Solanum lycopersicum: one gene and its partners. Each later gene encodes a partner of the first gene's protein in a complex. Links are inferred from orthologs where the notes say so. Each region holds a gene or a part of one and is shown in the gene's direction. Other genes may lie near its edges.

Region 1 (3,804 bases):
AACAAAGTATTCTTCTTAACTAGGGCTCGAACCTGCAGTTAGAGCTCAAACTAAATTCGGATCACGCACTGCGGACTTATTCAAGAGTGACGTTCCTAACAAAATTTTCTTGATACCTAGGGCTTGAACTTGCAATTAATTAGAGCCCCGACAAATTCTGATCGCGGCGCATTGTGGACTCATTCAAGAGTGGCACTCCCAGCAAAACTTTCCTCATACCTAAGATTTTAAACGTGAAACATCTGATTAAGGGTGACACAATTTCATCATTACGCCACAATTTATATTTAAAAATAAATTAAATTTAATGATTTAATAAAGTAGAAATACATGTTAATTAATCATAAATTAAAATTATTGTGTATGTTTCAATACATATACATATTATGCATTTATTTATTTGCGATAAACATCTAATATGGATAAATTTTAATTTTTTCAATGGGTGGCAATTAAGTTGCTATTTATAATGCCGCATAAACAGTTATTAGTTATTGCTAGCAAATTCGTAGGATTTTGCAATTGGAAGGTGTTTTATTTTTAGGAATTTATAAAGTAAATTACTCACAACTCATAAGAATCGTTTGAAGTACCCATTAAGATGTAATTTATAGGATTAGTAAGTCATGAAATTTATTAGTTATAATCTTATAATATTAAAATTACTAAATTAATGGAGTATTAAAATTTATAAAATTCTTTACTTTAAAAATAGGTTCTCTCTAATTTTCTCTAAAATATTCTTCTTGTTCTTGCTTTATTATTTTATAACCACTTCTAATCTTATGTTGTTTATAAGAATTTTTTATTGTTGCCCATGAGAGATCTTTATTTTTATGCCTACAAAATTTTAAAAGATCAATTTTCTTTTTATTCAATTGGTAAGTGATCATGTAAATTTATTTTCAACTCGCATTTCTATCGCCCCAAATTTAGGTTAGGCCTTAGATAAAAAGAGCGATATCAGAAATGAAATGTAGAGATTTCTTTGTAAAGCTAATATTTTCTTCATTTCAATTAGATGTAATACGAAGGCTACAATTACATGTTACAACCAAAACATAATATGAAATTTCAGATGTAAAATAGAAGTAATGTGACGTGTAAAATGTGTAGAGTACTGATATAATGTCTAGTTATGTTAAATTATTAATAATATTTATAAAGTGCATAGTAATAAATTACTATCGTCTTAATGAGTTATCGATTCATCCAATAACCAAATACTAAAAATTGATACCTAATCAAAAACCCTTTATAGATCCGTTAAAAATCCATTAACTCAATAATTCAATAACCCAATAACATTTTTTTAATAGGTTTATTGATCGATTCGATTTTTCCACATCCTTATTGGGAGGTGACAGTATGATAGACATCGGTGAATTTAGTCGAGTGCATGAAAACTAGCCCGAATACCATATTAATAAAATAAAATTTAAAAAAAAAAAAAAAAGAACAACCGGGGCTCCATATTAGCAAACCAGGTCGAAAAGAAGAACTCCATTCCCTATCCAATTTTCCCCAATAGGATAAGAAAAATAGACCAGCAAAAGGCTCTATCTTCTTCCTTCTTCAATTTCTTCATCAATCAAGATTTTCAACAATGGCGCAAACACTAGCAACTCCTGTACTTCCTTCTCTTTCCCTTATCTGCAACACATCTTCCATCTCCAAGCACAGTTCCCTCTCTTTTTCTACTCCCACATCTTTTCCAAAGGTACACTTCACTCCCTTCTCTTGAAATTTGCAGTAATCAAACATGGAGTTTGCTGAAGTTTACATTTTTTGACCTTTTTCGTGTAGGAATTGGAATGGGGTTTGTCTTTTTTTTTCTCGCAATTTTCTCAGTAACCAAACATGGGTTTTGCTAAAGATTACTTTTTTTTTTACCTGAGTAGGAATTGGAATGAGTTTTTGGATTTTTCGAAATTTTCTCAGTAACCCAACATGAGTTTTTTTTGCTAAAGTTTCCGTTTTTTTGAGGTGGGATTGAATTGAGGTTTGCTTATTTTTCATATTTTTGGACTTTTTTGAGTTGGAATTAAATTGGGTTTTGCTAAATTTTCCATGATTTTGAGTTTGAACTGAAATGAGTTTTGTGTAGACTGCAGGTTTGGTTATAAAGTGTGTGCGTGTGGGAGGAGTGGAAGTTCCAAACAACAAAAGAGTTGAGTTCTCTTTGCAATACATTCATGGAATTGGCCGCACCACTGCACGCCAGATTCTGGTAGACCTTCAAATGGAGAACAAAGTGATGAAAGACATGTCGGAAGAGGAACTTATCACTCTTCGTGAAGAAGTCTCTAAGTACATGATTGAAGGAGACCTTGTGAGTTTCATTGCTCTAATTTGTACTCATTTGTTTTCGTTCCAATGTGCATATCCTTATTGAAACTTATATGCTTAGGTAATTTGATTTCGATATCTAGTTCATGTAACTTTGCTGTGGTTGCTGTTTATTTTAGCTCTATAGTTTAACTTAATGCCATTTGGGGTTCTAAGAAATTTAATTCATTTTGTCTCAAGATAGGAATTGAACCAAAAAAACAATATCTTAAACCAATCTTTGGTCCAACTTTTACATGGAAAGAACCATATTTGAGCTGAAACTGCATTCTACATATCTTGAGATTAAAACCAGAAGATCGAAAAATCTTCTTTACTTTCTTAAACTTTGTGTCAAGTCAAATCCGGACAAACAAATCGAAACAAGGGGAGTTATTGTTAGGTGGGTATGTAGGATCATGGCTTCTATATGCATCACAGCCTTATCCCAAATTAAACAGTTCTTATGGAAATGTATTTCAGAAGAAATCGATAGCTTGTTTAGCAATTGGCAATGTTGATTGAGATTCTTGTGTATAAGGTTGTTTGTTTGATTGATGCTTCGGCTTCCTATTTGAAACGGGAAAATTGATTACATACTTGTGGTGTTGGCATCAGAGGAGATTCAATGCTCTTGCCATTAGGAGGTTGAAGGAGATTCAGTGCTATAGAGGAGTAAGGCACATCCAAGGATTGCCTTGCAGAGGACAACGAACAAAGAACAATTGCCGTACTTTGAAGGGCAAGAAAGTAGCAATTGCAGGGAAGAAGAAGGCACCTCGTTAAATCAAGATCGATTTTTCATTTCTTTTGGTAACTAACTTGTAAAAGTTACACTCTATATTCCTATGGCAAACTGTGCATTTGTTTGTTATAAACAGTTTTTTCCATTGAAATCATTTTTCTACATTTCAAGATAAGAGCTTTTCAAGAAGAATGTTGATGCTTAGGCATAATCTCTTCCTTAAATCTTGTTAAATGTGTTTCATGTGGAGTAATTGCGAATTTACGTTATTCTGATTGGATGATTTGGTTGACAGGAGAAAGGTTTGTTAAGTTACGTTAGGTGTCATAATAATTGTTGATGTAACGACCTATGAAGTGCAGTCCCTATCTATGAGCCTTGGTTTAAGCTTCAAGTTCAGTAATGTGTTTGGGCCAAGTATTTGCATTAATGTGATACCAAAGTTTTACAATTTGAGTCATAGCATTGTTAATGTAATGACTCGTTAGGTCATTTTGAGAATTAACTAAAAGCATAGAGTTTGTGGCACCTTTTTGTCACATGCATGAGCATGAAAGTTAAGTCCCACCCCTTTAGTACTCAAGAAGGTTCACTTTTCTCAGGTTTCTTGAAGACCATGACTTCTGTTTTTCAATAGTGATGATGTTCAGATCAATTTACACGTATTTCACTACTTACTTGTTACCTCACACTAGCATTATTGACGACGATGTAGTCTCTATCATTTTCAA
Region 2 (3,783 bases), about 3.1 Mb from region 1:
CTAATGTTTAGTTGCTTGAAAATAGTCTTTATTAGAGAGGAAAAATAATTTTTAAAATTTTTATGTATAAAAAAATGTAGTTAGAAAAATGTTTTTAATAAGAATTTGGTGGATTGGGTTATGACATGCACTATCTCAAACTTAAATAACTTCTGATCAGTCTATTTATTAACTCAACTCATTTTGACTCATTTAAATTCAATTCAACTCATTCATTTGACGTTGTTCTTATCATCATTCTGTAGAACTTACATTTACGACTTGACAACACATCCTTATCACATAGTACCCTAGTACGAACCTTCATTTTATCCAGTCCATTTCAATTATGCAATGTACGATATCATCATCAATCTCCGTTCTTCCGGGATACGACACCTCTAGCCCAATATTAGCTCTTAGGAAAAATAAAACCAAGCGTCACATTGATCATAAAAATATACTTTTTTGTGTATGTAAAGGGCAAATTATAAGTATGAATTGAATTAGTGGTTTCTTCAAATTTGCAACTCATTTTGATCACTTCATAATTAATATGACTAATATTAATATTATTATTTTTTTATTATATGATTTTGTCAATATCATAAAATTCAGCTCAAGTAATGTTTTTTCTTCATAAACTTGAATGAGTAGTACGCATGGACATATATATCAAAAGTCGTCTCTTTTACTAATTATGTAGAAAATGACATTGAAAGAAAAATATTTATGATATATGAACTTCATTTTCAATTTTTTTTCAGATCTTATTAAAAAGATGGCTTTTTATTAATACCAATAAGAAAGAATGTAGCTCTAGGACATTCTTAATATGCCCCTCTTTTGTTAATATTAGAGATTTAATTTCACGAATAGTCAAAGAGGCATACATATATCACACTCATCCACATGTTCAAGGCGCAACATCTATCTCAAAAAATGATTTTCTAAAAATAATAATGATAGACGTGTTAAAAAAGTAATGTGAAGTCATTGTCGAGAGAGTTGCTGACTAATGACCTAAAAAAGTACGTAACATTTGAGAAGCACGAACAATCTTCACCCATGAGATACATTCTACTTTTTTTTGAATAATCAGATAATATTGATCAATTTGATTAGGGATGACAAAATTAATCTATAAAAATCTGATACTCATAAGTTTTGTCTACTAAGAATTGTAAACTTGATAAAAGTTGAACATATTAGACTACGACAAAATACTAACCCATCTTATCTCAAATTTATAATCTTCAAACAAATCGATACCACTCGTTTATCAACACAACTTTAACTCTCAAAAAATTGTTCAATCCGCTCGTTTGACATCCCGAATCAACTCAACGTTGCTAAATATACAAAATTAGTAAAGCTATGATAACTAATGATCATATTTCTTTTGGGCCCAAATCCCATAACATGACCAAAGTCCTCACCCATAGGCCTCTTAGCCCAATTTAAACAACTTTCATTTTTTTTCTTCTATTACCTTATCCATTCTATCATTATCTCAAATTCTCTATACACACTCTTTTTAAGGCCACAATTTTCCCACTTCACTTTTTTTCATCACTAGACAAATATTTTTTTTATCTACACAAAAAATGTTATCAATGTCTGTTCAATCTAGCTTGAAAGGCAATTTGAGTATCCCTTCTTTACCTTCACAAAATCCAGGTTATAAATCCTTCAAATCATGTTCTTCATTATCTTTTAACAACAAAGGTTTATCAACAAGAAGAATTCATAAGATTTTTGCTTCAGCAGTTGCAGAAGCAGAATCAGTTGAAGTTGAGACTTCAGAGTCTGTTGTTCAAGAAATTGAGGTAAAAAATCAGCTCTTTAATTTTCAATTAGGTAACTTTTTTCGATAACTTAGTGTCTAGATTAGTTTTTGCGCTACTCAATTAATTTCATGAATGGTAGTGTTACTTCTCACTAGTAAAATTGAGTAATCTTTGTCTGATTTTGACTTGATACGTAATTTAAGAATGTAAATACTCCCTCAATCCATCTTTACTTGGTCATTATATTAAAAATAGTCGTCTAACAATACTTGTCCAATTTGAAAAACATGAAAACCCTTGATATTGAATACTACTATTCAATATATAATACATTTTCCAAAGCATCAAATTTATATTCAAAGGATAATATAGTAATATTTTAGAATCATTTGATATATACGACAAATCTAGAATTTTTAAGTCTTTGAATTCACTTTTACTATGATTATTTAACACGTACTGTGTTGTTCGACTTTTCTAAATATGAAATGGTAGTCCAACAACTTCTTAATGAAAATGAGTAATAACTAGCAAATTTATGAATGTTTTAATTAATAAAAAAAAGGCATAATTGGGGAAATATATTGATCATTTAGCTAAAAACAGAACAAAAATGGAGTTAAATTATAGCATTACCTATAAATATAAGTTATGTTTCGACAAAAACTAGATATATCAATTCGTACCCTCGAGCCCTAAAATTTTAGTGATGATGAATTCAACCTCTAGATCAAACATTTGTGTCATATACTTGCACCCGTACCAAAACAACATAATGTATGTACATATTGACCCAAAAATAACAGATTCAGTTGAACACTTGAACACATTTAACTCATCCTAGCTAGATACGCCTATGACAAAATCCAATCTCTGACTTCCACCCGTGTCAAATACTCAAACTCGTATTGAAACGTCTACATTATTAAAGATGAAAATAAGAAGTTCAGTTGAATGCACATAATTCATTCCAGATACGTACGACTATATAAATAATAAGCCCAAAAAAGGATAGGATATTATGTTTTGATATCTTATAGTGAATTCTTGGATATATTTTTTTCAGAAAGTTGATATGAAGAAAAAGGTAATTGAGAAGCCAAGGCTAGTGCTAAAATTCATATGGATGGAGAAAAATATTGGACTTGGCCTTGATCAAGTTTTACCAGACCATGGAAGTGTACCATTAAGTCCATATTTTTTTTGGCCTAGAAAAGATGCATGGGAAGAGTTGAAAACAACACTAGAGAGTAAGCCATGGATATCACAAAAGCAAATGATTATTTTGCTTAATCAAGCTACTGATATTATCAATTTGTGGCAGCAGAGTGGTGGAAATTTGACCTAATTGTTGTTTTTGGTATTTATTTGTAGACAAATTGTTTCAACTTTCTGTTTTTGTTTTATCTTATTTTTAACTGTACTATAGTTGATGGAGAATACAATTGGAATCATTTTTGTTTCATTTTTTAAATTGTTTAATGTGTTCTGACTGGACGATAAGATAATCAAAATTTGTGAATAATTTAATAAGATAGGTGAAATGAAGATAGTATCAACAAGTTTTATACGCACAAAATTGAAACCATGGCCGATTTTGTTTTCTTTTAATTCAATATATTTTTTAGCGATTGTTCATCTTCCACCGCCCGTTATATTTGGACTTTATTATGAACTAAAAGCCCGTAAAGTCTCTCTAGTTGGGTTGGTTCATCCTAACAAGGCCCATGGGCTCTATGGCAACTCTCACTTGAAACTTGCGATGGAAGAATCCTCTTTTCGTAATTAGTGGCTATACTAAGGGTAAGTTCCCGCGATGTTCAACTACGACATCGTATAAAGGCCTTCGTGCCCAATGTTTCCTGTGAATTCGAAGTACAGAAATTTTGACAGAAGTTTTTTTTCCCGCGCTCTGTGAATTCTCCAATCCATGGCTCCTAAAGCAGATAACACTGAAGGTAACTTCTCTCGCCGGATAACAGAATTGAATATTTTCGTAGTTGTAATCTTAATT
Region 3 (3,703 bases), about 65 Mb from region 1:
GTCAGTACGCGATCTTCTTGTGGAAGGTTAAGAACGATTTATGGGGAGCAGAAGAAAAATACCAACAGGCAGTGGCAGCTGAGCCTAGGAACCCTTATTATAGATGTACATATGCCAATTTCTTGTGGAACACGGGTGGCGAGGAAACTTGTTTCCTTCCAAGTAGTACTTCTTCTATCAATAACAAGAAGGGTGAAGAAGTTTAGTCGTAACAGAGAAAAATTGTTCAAGAAATGCATCAAACTAAGGAGAAAAATGGTGAGATTCCCTTATGCTTCTGGTAATTTTAACTACAGAGTGGAGAAGAAGTTCCTCAAGACGTCGATTTAAATCACATATTTGAATAAATACTAACGTGAATGATCGATCTATTGTGTTTTTTTTCTGTAGGGAAATGGCTATATTATTTGTTCTTGATTTTCTGTGTCTAGATTGAGTAGAGTGATTTGCATGGGAGCTGTTCACCACCACCAACAACAACATCTACGGTTCAGTACCAAACAAGTTGAGGTCGACTATATGAATCTGTACTGTCATAGTTCGAGGTCAATTTTGTGGTCGATAATAAGTGAATTGAGTTCTCAAATTTTTGTAGAGTAGGGTATTTCATCTTTTGACTGACTTGTTATTAATATATTTTTGTATTTTTGAGTGAGTTTGGTAAAAAAAAAATTATAATCAATTGGGAATGTCTTGTATGATTAATCATTGTGTTACTTCCTACATTGTATATCAACGTACATTTTTTTCTTTTTTCTTGTCTTTTAAGAAATATTAAAAATATTTATTTTTTTACTAATTTACTGTTATAATTATTTTTCATAAATTCTATTTTTTGTGTCTTTATCTGTTAATAACAAAAGAGGAACTTTACAATATTTATATTTTTAATCAAAAAGAGTCGATTTAAGGTGCAAAATGGAAAAAAATAGAATTAATTTTTTAATTTGACAAGTAATTTTGAATAAATATCTTTGTTAATGTAGACAAGTAGTCTGTCATAGAGGTGTACTATTATCTCATTACTTCTCTTAATTATTATATATGTTAAAATTTCTTTATGTATGTGATGAAATCTAACTATATTTATACTCCCTCCGTCTCATTTTGCAATTTATTTGTCTATTTTCACACATAAAAAAAGATAATTTTTTTTCTTATTATATTCTTATTTAAGCTTCCTGAAAATTTTTAAGTTTTAATTCATCTTTTTCGAAATCATAATTAATAAGGGCAAAATTGTAACTTCACTATTCTAATTATTGCTATATTAATATGTTTGTCATTTCTAAAATGGACAACTAAATAGGAACAGATAGAGTTTGAGATAACACTATTATTCCTTATTTCTCGTTCCAAACAATCCTTTTCAGGTCTCAGTTTATTGCTTGATATACTTTTACATAAAAAATAATTGATCTTCTGATAACTTGAATTCACAATTTTAAAGTTTAAAATGAATGGTATTTACCATCCAAGTAACTCTTAACGTTTTTTTTTTTAAAAAAAAAAAACAAGGAAAAATAAGTGAATTTTACCTTAATTCAGGGGTATTTGAATAAAAAAAAGACAAAGGGCACATTATCTAGAAACAGAATAAGAAGCTATAGAACCACCACAAATAAAATCTCAATTCTATCAGTTGAGCTGCTGCAATGGCGTCGTTGTTAGTTGGTTCAGTTCCTATGAGTACTGTTCAATCCATGGCTTCTCTTTCTCCTAATTTATCATTCTCTCGTTCTCACTCCGTCGCCGGCAGCGTTTCAATTACGGCGGCATCTCCTTCACCATCAATTTCGTTTTCGTCTCTCACTGATTCAAATCTCCCATTGGGTACGAATCACATACCTTTTCGAATTTATTGTTTGTGAAAATTTTGTGATGATTGAAGTTTCAGTTCGAGAAATTGAAATTTTGATTTGATTTCATTTTCAGTTTACTGCGGTAGAGGTGATAAGAAGACGGCGAAAGGCAAGCGGTTCAATCACTCCTTTGGCAATGTGAGTTTGTATATTTTGGTTTATTGCAGGATAAGACCTCCTTAATATGATTTAGTTTCAGATACACCCCTGTATATTTTATAAACAAACACTTACCTCCTCTATATTAGGAGAATCCTACACTAACATTCTAGTTTGATACGTGGAATAAGAATAATAATCTCGAAATAGAATTTGAGATTAAATTTATTGCATATTTGAGTTAAAGGTATTGGCTTAAAATAACGAGTGTATCGAAGATGAATAAATAATTCCATGAGATATTTAATGTATTTATGCCTTTAAATTTTAGAAAAGAGAAGTATGTGTTTTGTTGAAATTGATAAATAAGATATCAACACAAATTACTTAATATGAATAATTTTTTAACTCATATTTGATTAAATGAATGTTAATTCCATATAAAATGATTTATAGATTCACTTGGAATAAGATTATTGGTGCATAAGGTTTTGCATAATTAATGCAGGAGTTTAATGCTTTTAATATTATAGAATTTTATACTGAGATTCAATTGTTCATACATTTAGACGAATTGACCCCTAAAAAGTTTTGAAGTTTATTTTTGATTGCAACCTAGATGCATCTCGACTAATTTTATCAATAGATGGGATAAATTACCTAGTGTTATTTTGTCTCTGATAGAATTTGAACCTGAAACCTCATGATTCTCGACCCTCTTCGTTAACCACCAATGTTGATGATAGATTCAAAATAGTCTGTTAAATATGCTCTAACCAATTTTTAGTACTTTGAAGTTTAGAGTGTTATCATCATACGTTTAACAATTTATGTTCGTTAGATTTGACAGAAATAGTGAAAAAACAACAGTTGTTTCGACATTTTTTGTTGTTATTTTGAACTGATTCCGATGGTATGAATTGGTTTAGGCAAGGCCAAGGAACAAGAAGAAGGGAAGAGGACCACCTAGGGTTGCAGCACCACCAGCAGCACCAAAGAGAGATCCATTTGATGATGGCCAAGTCGTTAAAATTGAAATACATGACCCATAGTTTTCTCGGAGGAGCAATTTCATTTTTATGTAGCTCTAATCTTCTACTACTTTGTTTATTTCATTGAAATATCGATTAAGTTAATCATTTGGACTGAGATTTCTAGTTTGCTTGAAGGGTCTTCGTTTAAATGCTCTTGTGTCCTGTTAAATTATGCATTTTGGTTCTAGCAACCTTCAGTAGACAAGTGGTAATAGTCACTACTTTAGCTATTGAGAAAAGTGAAAAGCTTAGAGAACCCCACATTCCTTATGGGTTGAAAACCACGAGGTTTTAGGTTCATATACTAGCGGAGACAAACACATTAGGAGGTCTTTTTGTAGAGTGTATAAGAATAGTAATATATAGTGTATTACTAATGCTGGGATTAGTTATGTTGGAGCTATTTCCTACCCACTATTTGGTTTGATATATTATCAAGGGCACTTTGGCCTCGAACAAAGAAAGGATCAAAAAATGTCATAGCTAATACATCCTACCAAATGACCCCTAGGTGGTTCTTATTTAGACCTTCGTGGATAGAATTACTCCATATCTGTGCTGGTTGGAGGTAACCTTTACCTCGAAGAATTAGTCAAGATGTGAGTGAGCAAATCCAGTCACAAAAAAACTTCTTTTGTTTGGGTCACCAAGTTTGTCTGCGTCCACTATACAATCATAAACCAGCTTTACAGCAGGACACAAGTTGGA

The links.
Region 2: 30S ribosomal protein S13 (region 1) and small ribosomal subunit protein cS23 share a complex: the UniProt entries of both Arabidopsis thaliana proteins name them as parts of the 30S ribosomal subunit. The link is inferred for Solanum lycopersicum from reciprocal best matches to the Arabidopsis thaliana genes EMB3137 and PSRP3/1.
Region 3: 30S ribosomal protein S13 (region 1) and small ribosomal subunit protein bTHXc share a complex: the UniProt entries of both Arabidopsis thaliana proteins name them as parts of the 30S ribosomal subunit. The link is inferred for Solanum lycopersicum from reciprocal best matches to the Arabidopsis thaliana genes EMB3137 and PSRP4.

The regions. Positions count from the first base shown.
Region 1 is NC_090804.1:939,347-943,150, forward strand, and holds 30S ribosomal protein S13, read left to right. Parts: upstream 1-1,527; 5' UTR 1,528-1,606; coding exon 1,607-1,720; intron 1,721-2,107; coding exon 2,108-2,332; intron 2,333-2,946; coding exon 2,947-3,114; 3' UTR 3,115-3,224; downstream 3,225-3,804. UniProt on the Arabidopsis thaliana protein: Located at the top of the head of the 30S subunit, it contacts several helices of the 16S rRNA.
Region 2 is NC_090804.1:4,043,226-4,047,008, reverse strand, and holds small ribosomal subunit protein cS23, read left to right. Parts: upstream 1-1,499; 5' UTR 1,500-1,586; coding exon 1,587-1,808; intron 1,809-2,835; coding exon 2,836-3,117; 3' UTR 3,118-3,234; downstream 3,235-3,783. Other genes in the region: homologous-pairing protein 2 homolog, read left to right, coding at 3,700-3,727. UniProt on the Arabidopsis thaliana protein: Component of the chloroplast ribosome (chloro-ribosome), a dedicated translation machinery responsible for the synthesis of chloroplast genome-encoded proteins, including proteins of the transcription and translation machinery and components of the photosynthetic apparatus.
Region 3 is NC_090804.1:66,171,926-66,175,628, forward strand, and holds small ribosomal subunit protein bTHXc, read left to right. Parts: upstream 1-1,432; 5' UTR 1,433-1,655; coding exon 1,656-1,833; intron 1,834-1,935; coding exon 1,936-2,000; intron 2,001-2,890; coding exon 2,891-3,013; 3' UTR 3,014-3,144; downstream 3,145-3,703. Other genes in the region: uncharacterized protein, read left to right, coding at 1-206.